2 linked regions of the Schizosaccharomyces pombe genome follow. Changing the gene in region 1 together with any one later gene gives a genetic interaction. Each region holds a gene or a part of one and is shown on either strand. Other genes may lie near its edges.

The links.
Region 2: of tnr3 (region 1) and asp1, changing one suppresses a phenotype caused by changing the other (phenotypic suppression), as found in Schizosaccharomyces pombe (one study listed by BioGRID).

Annotation. Positions count from the first base shown.
Region 1 is NC_003424.3:1,314,693-1,321,095, forward strand, and holds tnr3 (thiamine diphosphokinase Tnr3/ Nudix hydrolase fusion protein), read right to left. Parts: upstream 4,287-6,403; 5' UTR 4,111-4,286; coding exon 2,401-4,110; 3' UTR 2,289-2,400; downstream 1-2,288. Other genes in the region: tvp15 (COPI-coated vesicle-associated protein), read left to right, coding at 1,407-1,805; Rho GDP dissociation inhibitor Rdi1, read left to right, coding at 5,154-5,771.
Region 2 is NC_003421.2:570,970-577,596, forward strand, and holds asp1 (inositol hexakisphosphate kinase/inositol pyrophosphate synthase), read right to left. Parts: upstream 3,604-6,627; 5' UTR 3,504-3,603; coding exon 741-3,503; 3' UTR 501-740; downstream 1-500. Other genes in the region: tyrosine--tRNA (Tyr) ligase Yrs1, read right to left, coding at 1-479; U3 snoRNP-associated protein Utp21, read left to right, coding at 4,568-4,643, 4,703-6,627.

The sequences.
Region 1 (6,403 bases):
AAATTATCGTATTATTAGAAACCTACTCGTTATTTACACAATTTTTTGAATGCTTCTTTTCGACTCTTCTGATTGTTTTCGGTATTTATCACAAATTTAGTAGTTCTTATTTCACATCTATTAAAAGGTAATCAAGCAAGGTGTAAGGAAAACTTTTTAATTATTGAAAGTTGGTTTGCGTAGTTTCAAAATTAATCAGATAAATTTATACAGCAAGCCCAGTATAAAAAGGGGCCTAACCAGGATTCGAACCAGGGATCACCTCTAAACTCAGCATACAAGTGGGGATTACCCGAAAGAGGTATGTTAACCACTACACTATTAGGCCTAGGTTTCTCATTACAAAATATTAATATAATATATATATAAAATAATTGCGACATAATAAATGTTAAGTACCTCTTTGCTCTGAAAACTAAAATACCAATAATGACGCTTTTCTTTTCATTAGAAGAGAATGTTTATTAAAGAAATATCTTAAAGAAAAATACTACTTAAATATTTATTTAGGAGTTAGTACACTAATTCCAGAGTATTAAATCCAAGTGTAACAAGGTAGGAGTAACAAATAGTTGTTTAATTACAGACAATTAAGTACAGTAGAAAATTACTCAAATATATACAAGGCTTTGGGCCGTTTAAAACGAATCATGCTGATATCTATATTCGGCTAATCGACTTCTTGCTTTATTCTCAGTTTAAAATGGAGTTTTTTTTTATAGCGTTACGAATTAGAAATAGATGTAGCCGTCTATCAAAGTTGACATTGCACGTGAAATTATCATTATAAACATAATCAAATGAATGGCAAAGCGATCAAAATAAGAAGGAATTTTACTACGTTATAAAACATTCGGCTTTTTATTTTACTTTATTCTTTTTTATTCAGGTGCATCTGATAATAATCGCGTGAAACTTGAGTGCAAAAAATTTTACAGCCCTGTAGATCCCGAGTGAGAGTAGATCACATATAGCTAAAGGAGCTCGTATGAAACTAAGATACAAATACATTTGTTTACGAACGTTTGACAAATATATAAATTGACCCACAGACCTTAAAATTGTCAACAACAGTTGTCTCAAAAAAAAGCCGGGTCGAAAGTACATTATTTACTAAATGATAGTGTTTTTAACTTCAAAAACAGTACAAAGAATGCTATAGAAAACAAAATGCATTTTCGATGAATTGAATTATTCATTTTCTGTAAACAACAAAAAGTTGGTTGAGAATTATGGAATTCGTTATTTTTATTTACCGTATTTCAATAGTTCGTAAATATGCATGACCGCATCGGTAAGCATAGGCAGGCTTAGTAACTTGCATTTCTCTTTGTCTTTAAGCAAACATCGACTAAAATACATATTGCTTGAAAAATTTAATATTGGTTGCATACACTTAATTCACAATGGATAAAACAAAAATGTTTAGTGCCATTAATTTGGGCGTAGGTGGTATCTTCGTTTTAAGCGGATTTATCAAGTTATTTTCATTTAGCTTCGTAAACGCTTTACTTGCATTGTTCATCATCGTTTTCGGTTTGGGAACTATTGGTTTAGAAAAGGAAATTCCTCCTATTGCTATTAAATATGGATCGTTCATGTTCTCATTCTTAGGAAGGGGCTTCTTCTACGCTTTCATGGGTACTTTACTCTTTTCTTACTCCGGGTTTACTTCTTTCCTAGGCTTTTTAGTTCTTCTTGCAGGTATCGCCTACTGTGGTGCAAACTACGTAGCAGGATTGCAAGACTACGCTCCCAGAAGCATGCGTGATAATGATTGGGATGATAACGTTGATGAAGTGTAGACTTTTTTTTATTTCTAACTATATTATTTGATTCGGTTCTTGTTCCTACCCCCCTCTTTTCCCGATGTCCTCCTACATATGATTTATTCTGGATACATTCGTTTTCTTCAGGGTAGGTGTTCTAAAAGACAGTCACTTTAGCAGTCATCCTCAGAGTAGTTAATGAGTATAAATATGTATACGATCTCTTAACTATGTATAATTTTTGTATATCAACATTAGCGTAGTAGCTATGGTATTTGTGATGGGTTTTAGGGTTATACATTCAAATACCTTTAATTGTCCAGCTTGGATTCTGAACTGTCGGGTGTATCGAGGAGGATAAAAATGACATGTCAAGCTCAACAATATGAAAAATTATGATTTTTTTCTATTTCTTCACTTTCTGAGATGTATCTTGCAGTTCAAAATGTTAGTTGGCTTTACTAAAATTCTATTTTATTTCATTACTCTAATCAATTATCTTTTTGCTTTATGACCATTACCGCTTATACTCTATAGATGTTTTATATTTTTTATATCTAAATAAATATCTTAATTTTTTTGAGCTGTTGGGAATAATGAATATTCTTTCTGAGTTTCTTACTTACAGGTCTTATAGACGTGTTTCCATTGTCCATACTATAAAATTGTTGACCTCTATAGTCACCGTTGCTTTTGTCACTACATTGCAAGAGCTGACGAGTCCTCCAAATTGACAAATGCGATCCTCAATATTCCACTCAAGGCCGCTGGTTTTTTTAACATACACACTCTGTCCTACTGGCAGAAGACCGCAATGTAAACCAATGTTGTCGTGACAATCAACATGATTTATTCCGGGTTGAAGCAAAGTTGATACATTCAATTCAGTTAATAGAAATACTTCATTCTTTTCAGAAATCGAGGCGGCCCAGAATAGATGGTTTAAATTACCAATGGCATGATCAACTCTTCCACCCATGCCACATAATACAAAAATAGTATCAATCCCATGTTCTTTAATTATTTTATGGCATTTCATAAAGTCAGTGGTGTTTTGGCATGGGTCGAATACAATGTTGACTCCCATTTCTTTATAATAAGCTTTAGTTTCATCTGTTAACGAATCAAAGTCACCAACGACATAATCCGGTTTGAGCGAAGAATCGTAATTTCTCAATTGGTTAGCACCACCGTCTGCGCAGACTCGGATACTAGCTCTTTTCCATAAAGTACGAAATCTATCATCCGGTATATCTATGGGTTGATTTAATAGTAATACCGCAAACTTTTGATCAGTATCATAGTCACGTAACCAAGCCTTACATGGAGCTAGCTGATGAGTGGCTTTTTGGGGTTTTGCAGGAACACACGTTTCAGCTTTCTTTGAAGTATCTTCAAAAGAATCCCCTCTTTCATATTTTCCAACAGGAACAGGCAACGGTCTATGTATCCGTTCTAAAGTTTGGAGATACTGAGGATGCTGTGGAGTAATGATACCATGACGGATTAAAAAGTCTAAAAGAACCAGAGCACAATTTGGCTTAAAACTTTTTAATTCAAGTTCATGAAGTACTTGATTCAATGGTAATAAACTGAAACCAGCGACTTCTCCATCATTAATTCTTGGGATAACAAGATCATCAACAGGTAAATCGAATACATATTGTAACTCGGGCTGAATCCAATGCCTTTTCTCCATTTTGATGTAGGAGACAGTGCCACAAGGAATAAGATTCATAGAAGAAACGTCCAAATTAGCTTCTTCAGAAAATTCCTTTATCATAGTGCCTATGACTGAATCACCATGAGCAATTCCGCCGGCAACGCTATTATCTAAATAATTGGGCCACGTTTGTTTAGTCGGTGATCTTCGTGGTACCCAAATACGAAGAGGATGTTCTTTAGTTGCTGGAATATACATGGTACAATGCACACCAGTGCTCAAAAAACCGAATAACCAAAATCCGCCCCGTTCAACGGCCAATACAGGCTTTTTAGATTTTCCATAAACAGTATATAATTCATTCCTCCATTGATCAGCAATTCCAAATGTATTGTTATGGCGCCAATGCTCCAGTACCTTAGCTAAGATGTCAGTTCTTTTTTCAAAAGTAGATGCGTTTATTTCAATATACTCTCCTGGAACATAAACCCAATTGAATTTGAAATTATCCGCCTTTATGAGGATTTCTAGTACCAAAGGGGTAACATATCCAATGGCAGCGCCATTTGCACGGAAGGGAATTGTTCCAGGAACAAATTCCCCATTAAAAGAATCGCATTCATCTAAAAGCTCTTCGGCATTTAATTGTTTAGCAGAGGTGATAGACGACATTGCCATTACCTTGCCCAAATTTTCCTCTCAAATGGATAGTGTTCTAAAATAAAACAGGAATAAAAAAGGCTAGTGTATTTATGCGAAGGAGACACTTATGGTTCAATTCAACATAAATAGAATAATATATAAAACACCCTATACTAGCAAATGGTAAAAGCTCAAGGAAACTGGTTCCTGGTAGTAGAAATCGGGTAGTTGACTAAAACCTTATCGTATAACGAAATGCTAATCTATTAAACCCCTTTCAAAATGATCTTTAAAAACAAAAAAGAAGTTGATATTAAACAAACAGTACCTTAATCAAGGTAATCTAGTAATTGTCTTTCAAGAGTGTGGTCTACGAGGAAAATTACAATGGGAGCAGAACTCCGTGCCAGGAATGTCTTGGTATTAAAAATAATAGCACACAGATTGGCTTACTAATTTTCACTTTAACACCAACCGCCGTTTTTGTAATTAATTAGGGTTTGGTATAGTTAAGCGTATCTTTCACATGATTTTTATTTTCAGTGGACTTCCTTCGTAAGTTTTTTAATAATAATTCCTGAAGTGATTGATAATTTTTCCGCTAAACGTATCAAATCTGGTTGTATAATAGTTATCGACTACAGCTATAACTTGCTGCTCAAACAATTTCATGTAAAGAACATCTGCCTACAGAAAAGCTAGCATAGAAAGTTCCTTCTTTTTTACGTCTCATAAGACGTCAATGCTTGGGATTACTCCAACATATTTACATGTATAAAAGCATGGATAATGACACTAAAAAAAAAATCGAAGGGAATAGAAAGAAAAAAAAAATCTTATACTTTTCTCACGCTTTTCTGCATCTCCGTTATATTTAAAATAATCCAAGTCACCGAAATGTTAACATAGTAGTACATCTGGTTATATTGTTGAGATAGCAATATGCTATGTTCCCTTTGCCAATTTCAACTCTAGAACAGTACATTAACAAAACAACGAATCTGAACTTTTTTTATAAAAACAAATTGTCCTTGGTTTAGCTACTGGCAGATAATTAAATTCTATTGCGTTGTTTTAAAATGAGTGTTAACAATGAAGTATCCGCTGATCAACATAACCCTGAACTAGAGGATGATACATTTGAGCATGGACCTCCGGTTTCTCTGGGAGAAAAGAAATCACTTAATGAATATATGAAGATGGATGCCGAAGATGAATCATTGCAGAAATGGAAAGCATCTCTGGGTATCACGGGAACAGGTTATTCACCCTCGAATGATCGTAGAACAGTTGTTATTTTAAAGCTGAGTTTACTTGTTGACGGCCGTGACCCAGTTGATGTTAACATGGAAGATGCAGCAAGTGTCGAACAAATCCGCAAGAAAGGGTTCACTATTAAGGAAGGAAGCGAGTTTAAGATTGGTGTTAAATTTCGTGTACAACACGAAGTAATTTCAGGCTTAAGATATGTCCAAACTGTTCGCAGACGTGGCTTTGTTGTTGACAAAACATCTACCATGATTGGCTCCTATGGACCTTCTGAAACACCTTATGATTTTACCTCTGAACCAGATGAGGCACCTACAGGTATGCTGGCTCGCGGACATTATGAAGCCAATGGAAAGTTTGTTGATGATGATAAAGTGGTCCATCATGAATTTGTTTGGGCTTTTGACGTTGCAAAAAGCTGGAAGTAGTCATTATTTATGCCAGCCTTATTTTTTAAAATCGTAAATTTCAAATCTACTTGGTTATTCAAAATTCTCGGTATTCAGTACTATAAAGAAATTTATAGTGATGTTTTGTTACAAAGCAAACATTTTCCTTTTTCTTACCAATTTCTTTCACATATCGGTGTCTGGACTACAATTGAATATGGTAATGACGATTTCTTACCACCTTCTTCAGTGAAACTTTACTTCACCCAAATATCTCGGATTGTTTGGAGATTGCCTTTTGTTGTGCAAATTACTTTTATAGCTTACATATGATCTTCACATATTCCCCTTTAGCAATCTACGTTGTTTCTTTTAAATCTCGTTCCAAAGCTTACAAATGCGATATTTTGGAAGGATATATACATCCGACTATATTCTTTTCACTGAAATTATGAGTTTTGAGATTTTGATTAAATTTTTCCAAGTATCTTATACTTTTCCACTTTTCCTTGTTGTCACCAAAGAAGTACATAGAAAACAATACAAATAGCTATTAACTAGCCTGATTAGTCCCTTTGATGGGAATTACTAGAATACTATTGTAACGGTAATAACTCATTCTTAAACTCATTTCAACGTATCTCGCTCGACTTTGAGAAAATCCTACATAG
Region 2 (6,627 bases), on another chromosome or scaffold:
GACAATAGAGGACTAGCGACCTGCTTGACAACTTCTGCACCGGCACGACGAGCAGTGTGCTCTGTCGTAGATGCAGCAAGTCGAAAGTTATCAAGGGTATAATCCTCCTTCAGCTGATAGCTGGAGCCAATGACAAAACGAAGCTTCTCAATGGGAATATTCAACGATTTTAGAATAGATTTGACAATAATTTCATAATAACGAACACGGTGTTGAACGAGTTCCATCGGCGCCTTCATGTTATCCAAAAAAGCATGGACATCGGCTAAAAGAACAGTAACATGTACACCGGCCTTTAAAAAATCAGCCAACTTCATCATTGGCACAAAATAACCACAATGAGGACGGCCAGTAGGTGCACTGCCCCAGTACAAGCTGATATCGCGTTCATTCAAAATTTCGCGAATCATTTTGGCGCCAAGCACCTCTTGAAGATTACGAGTAATCAACTCATATTTTTCATCCGGAGTAAGCGACATCTTGCTTGATATCCAACGTTAAATGGAACTCACAAAAATTGGTGATGTTGGTTAACGATGTTTTCGATTGCAATCATGGACTGCGATCAACGTTCGGAATTGCCGCGGCACCGTGACTGCAACCCGAACAACAAATTATTCAGACAAAATTATTAACCAAGGTTTAATAAATAATTTGGTTTAATTATGTGCAATTACTAATAAAATATCGTTTAAAAAATGTTTATGTTATCAAAACATTCGTAAAAAGGGTAAAAGCGGTTAATTAATGTTAACAGGAATAAACCTTTTGGGAAGATGAACTGAGTTGCAGAGGTCCTCGGTTTTCGTTATAAACTGCTGAAGGTCTAAATGTCTTGTAAGCGACCTGCGAGGTGAAACGCTAATACAGTGTTTAGCATCAAGATTCATATCCAATGGACATTGGGCATAACAACCTGGTGAGAGTGTGATACGAACAGAAAATTCCTTATTTCCTGAAGGATTAGTCCTCTCGAATAACTCAAAGCATATTTGAGTGAGATAATCTAATTCGGGAATTTGATTTCTAGGTAATTTCATAGGTAGTCCTGATTCAAGTATACAATTAAGCAAGGTATAGATATGAGACTCTTTAGTAAAGTACATTCTTGTTGAAGCATGATCAGAATCTCGTGCCTCTTTAATGTCATGTATGATTTGACGAAGCAACGGTACACTTGTTAATAAACCAATTTCTAACTTTTCTTTCGGTTCTATACCATATTCTTGAGGAGAAACAAAATCAAATAATACTTTTGCTAAATCGTATAGCTCATACAACTTTTCCAACGGCCTTTCAGTGTGATTAGTATTTGCACCGGTCATCCCAACAAGATTGCCATTGCTATCGGTTCTTTGGGGAGGCTCTTTGGCAATCAAGCTTGGACTCTGAGGCAATTTGAGATACTGATAGGGAGTAAATATGCGTTCCAAAAATTGCCGATTGTGAAGAGCATCATACTTCAATGTATCGTATAGTTCAGAAACCTTGGATGGGTCTGCTTTCTCAGAGTCACAAAATTCGCTAAACAACTTCTCCCACCTTTCCCTAAAGAGCGCAGGATTTTCATTACAACACCAACGCGATTGAACTTGCTCAACCTCAGGTCCCAAAATAATAAAATTCTCTCTCATTACTGCGCGATGATATTTCATGAGTTGAACAACTTGTTGCATTACTTCACAAGGCTTGGGCATGTTTTCTGGCCAAGTAAACTCCTTTCTAGCCGTATCTCCAACTCTTAATAATGATTTCAAGTGTTTCTTAACCTTATCCATAGTATCCTTGGCAGCATTAGAATCATCTAACAGATCTTTGCGAACTTTGAGTAAGTCGCTAGGAATAGTTTCTTGCTCCAAAAAGGCCATTGCAAAAATTTCAGCAGAAGCAGAGACACGTCTTTCAGAAGATGTGTATATTTCGACATCTTTCAGGCAATCACGATTCATAATATACAGGTCCTTATGAAACTGCTCTCCTAAATCCTTAGATTGGTATCTCGCGGAATGAGTAAATTCACCACCCCATTTGATAATTAGCTGCAGTTTCAAAAGCTTTCCCTCTGGGGAATAAGCCGGTTTAAGTTGCACTTTTGTCCCCGGTAAGTCTTTCTTCGTTTCCAAAGCTAAGCGTAACTGTTTTAACTTGTTGATATCTTCGCATTTGAGTTCTGTAGCAAGGTTGGTAGCTGCCAAAACAGAATTGAGTTGTTCGTTTCTTAAAATAACTTCCTCGGTATGACCTTGCAATAATTTTACAAATGGATCAGATGTAAATGAAAACTTAAACTTTTGTTTAGGTGTACGATCCGCGTGACGCAGGACTCCGACCAAACTTTTAAGTCTCCATGCCTCACTTTCTCTAGGCGGAGGATTTAAAACTTCTTGGACTGAAGGTACACGATTCCGTCTATGACGTTCGGCAACATGAAACATTTGTTTCAAAATTCGAGCAGCATTATCATAATAATCGTTGTTATCCTTGACGAAGGACCATCCATTCACATCAATCACATACGACTGACCTGAGACACGAAGAAGATCAAATCCACAAACAGGTTGCTCAAACGCAATTGATATCTTAGAGGCCATATTTTTTTCTTCCTCTGAAAGATTGGTGATAAACCTAATTTCCTTACCATGTGGATTCCTTCTCACAATTCCGTCCACTACGGGTGATTTGCGGGTTTCTGCATGGCTGTAATGAGGACCCACGGTATAAACCTTTACGTCTTCCGCGTTATCGACATTCATGAATTCCTCGTAAATAAAAGATCCTTCAGTGCGTGGAGCACAAAGATCTGGATCATAATCTGAAGACTTATTTGCGACTTTACGAAATAATTTGCGACCTCCCCCACCAACGGATTTAGGGAAATAAATATAAATATTGTGATCTTCACCATAGACTGGTTTTTCAACGTACGGCTTCTTTATTATCTTGCCATCAACAGAAAGAGTATCTTCGTCCAACATTTTTACTTCTGGGGTAGGAACCTCTGTGATTTCTATTCCAAACTTTCGACGCAACTTTTCTTCTAGGACTTTATTAATTTTAGGACCTCCATCACGAGAGCAAATCAAACGCTGAGGGGTGGAAACACGTATGGCATCAAGGATGTTCAACACAAGCCGTCTATCCCAAAGCAACTCTTGGAATACTACATCGTTTACACAAAAAGGTTTACGCAACTCGACATACTTTTCAGCTTTCTTCAATGGAAATCCACTAGAGTAGAAACATATCAAATAATCACAAGCAGGCCAATTTTCCACAGCTTCGTCCAAAATCATGTTGTCACCGAATACTATGGCTTCAAACTCACCTTCTGCGATGATTCTGTTCAGAATATTCCGACATGGTTTTGAGCGAGCTTTGGCATCCATGGCACAGATTCCAACTACATTTCGTTTAGTAGGTGTAACGATTGAGGAAACAGGCGACGCCGTTCTGGTAGATGACTCTGTGTCGATAGATGTAAGATGACTTGCATTTTGAATCATCCTTTATTATTCAACTACGTTAAAATATTTAATAACGCTTAAAACACCTTTTTCCCACTTGTATTCTTTCAATGGCCAATTCCCTCACTTGTTTGGTTATGAGAGATGTAGGTACACGGTGTTAGTACACACCTAGTCGATCAATGTTACTTGTACGGTTAACCTTACAATTCAGCGAGGTAACATTTGTTTACCTAACGAAATGTAAATAAATAAGAAATTGTTGCTTAAATGAAGTGGACAGTGAATATTGAATTTGTTTCGCAGTAATGCTTCTATGAATAACTTTTTTACTAATTATACTGGGTTAGTTAATTTGGGTTTTCATAAAAATTTTTTTAACCAAGCCCAGTTTCTGTTATTCTTCTTTCAAAAACGTATTCTTCCAGTTTAGTAAAAGCTTGTAAAATCCATCAATATTAAATTAAAAAAGAATTAGAAAAAATTTTTGTTTAATAGGTTTTTACTTTTCGTCCGTGCGAAAACACGTGGACTGGAATGTTTAAATTTTACAAGCAACAAACATTAAAAAATTACTTCTACTAGCTGGGTTCAAGAGTATATTGTTCTCGCACCTTTTACATAAAGAAAAATATTTTTTAAGAATTTACTGAAATTTATTTCATTATTTACAAGCCCAGAATTCCAACAATCATAGATTTACCTTACCACTTTTTGATATATGTGAATAGAGTTCTTTAGGTATTCTGAAGAGAATGTAGAAGTTTTGCTAACATGTTTTTACGATTAAATCTTACAATAACATTAGACATCAATGTTTAGTTCTCTTTTTTTTTTAATAATAAATAATTTGTTTACTTAAATAAACGGAACAATAGCAGAACGATTCTTATTTATAATTACCGAAAATTGATATATGACGGATTGACCATATCGTTAAACACATTTATCGATTTCAGTAAATACACTGTCGTAAATTAACGATTATTACTGTAGGTCGTAAAGGGTTGCTAGAATTTCACAAACACTGCTTTTTGCAAGTTACAGGACAAGAGCCATCCTTTGCCATTTTACGTGCTATTTGTGTTCTTTCCTGTGATAAAATGCCATTTGCAGAGAAGAAACGGAGGACTTATGAAAATGCGGTGAAGCCTCTAAGAAAATCTAGGATCTATGCTCGTAAGTCAAAATTCTCTCTTTTTCTTTTGGAATGAACAGATTGCTAACTGTATTTTTAGCCTTTAGATCCATCGGTCACGTTTCCAATGCAGTACCTTTCGACATTGAGGCTCGTGGAACCCATTTTTTGGTAACAACGTCGGTGGGAAACACATTTCAAACATATGACTGCGAAAAGTTGAATTTGCTTTTCGTTGGCAAGCAATTAGACAAGGAAATTACTTGTTTAAAATCCTTTAAAGATTTCATGCTTGTAGCTGCCGGATCAAAAATTTTTGCATATAAACGTGGTAAAATAATATGGGACATTGATGTGGAGCAAGAACATGGAACAGTCACTCATTTAGATGCTTTTGGTGAGTGGATTATTGCTTGTACATCTTCTCGTCATGTTTATGTATGGAAACACGCTTCTAAATATAGTGTTCCTGAGCTTCATACTACATTTCTTCCTAATACCAATGCAGATATCACTAGTTTACTACATCCAAGCACTTATTTGAACAAAATACTGCTAGGATTCTCAGATGGAGCATTACAGATTTGGAATTTGCGTGTTTCTAAACGTGTACATGAATTTCAGGAATTTTTTGGTGATGGAATCACTAGTTTAACACAAGCCCCTGTCCTCGATGTTTTAGCTGTTGGTACTATTAGTGGTCGTATTGTAATCTTTAATCTTAAAAATGGTTCAATACTCATGGAATTCAAACAAGATGGCCAAGTTCTTTCATGTTCATTCCGTACTGATGGGACACCAATATTAGCTTCTTCCAACCCCATTGGTGACCTTTCTTTTTGGGATCTTTCAAAGCGAAGAATTCAAAATGTTACATATAATGCTCATTTTGGGTCACTTCCAAAGATACAGTTTCTTAACGGGCAGCCCATATTAGTAACTGCTGGTCCAGATAACTCTCTTAAAGAATGGATCTTTGATTCAATGGATGGTGCTCCTAGAATCCTACGTTCTCGTAATGGTCATTACGAGCCACCTTCATTTGTTAAGTTTTATGGGAAAAGTGTGCACTTCTTGATTTCGGCTGCAACTGATCGGTCATTAAGAGCAGTTAGTTTATACCAAGACTCACAATCAACCGAACTATCTCAAGGCTCTGTTATTTCAAAGGCAAAGAAACTTAATGTTCGCCCGGAAGAATTAAAATTACCCGAGATAACTGCCCTATCTTCTTCAAATACTCGTGAAAAATATTGGGATAATGTTCTAACTGCCCACAAAAATGATAGTTCTGCTCGCACTTGGAACTGGAAATCTAAAACATTGGGTCAACACGTTTTACCAACTAGTGACGGTACGTCAGTACGGTCTGTTTGTGTAAGTTGTTGTGGTAATTTTGGTTTGATTGGTAGCTCTAAAGGCGTTGTAGATGTTTATAACATGCAAAGTGGTATCAAAAGGAAATCATTTGGACAAAGCTCTCTATCAGGCAAACCAGTCACTGCAGTTATGTTGGACAATGTAAATCGCATTCTTGTAACTGCATCGCTGGACGGGATTTTAAAATTTTGGGATTTCAACAAAGGAAACTTAATAGATTCATTAGACGTTGGAAGTTCCATTACTCATGCGATTTATCAACATTCATCAGACCTCGTTGCTGTCGCTTGTGACGATTTCGGCATTCGCATTGTTGACGTACAAACAAGGAAGATTGTTCGTGAATTATGGGGTCATTCGAATCGTCTCACCAGCTTTGATTTTTCCGATACTGGCAGATGGCTTGTTACTGCATCTTTAGATGGAACAATTCGCACATGGGATCTACCCACTGGTCACTTAATTGATTCAATTTCTACACCCAGTGTATGCACAAGTTTGACATTTGCACCAACTGGTGATTATCTGGCAACAACGCATGTGGACCAGGTGGGAATTAGCTTATGGACGAACCTTTCAATGTTCAAACACGTTTCTACAAAGGCACTTCGCCTTGATGATGTTGTTGAAGTTTCAGCTCCTTCC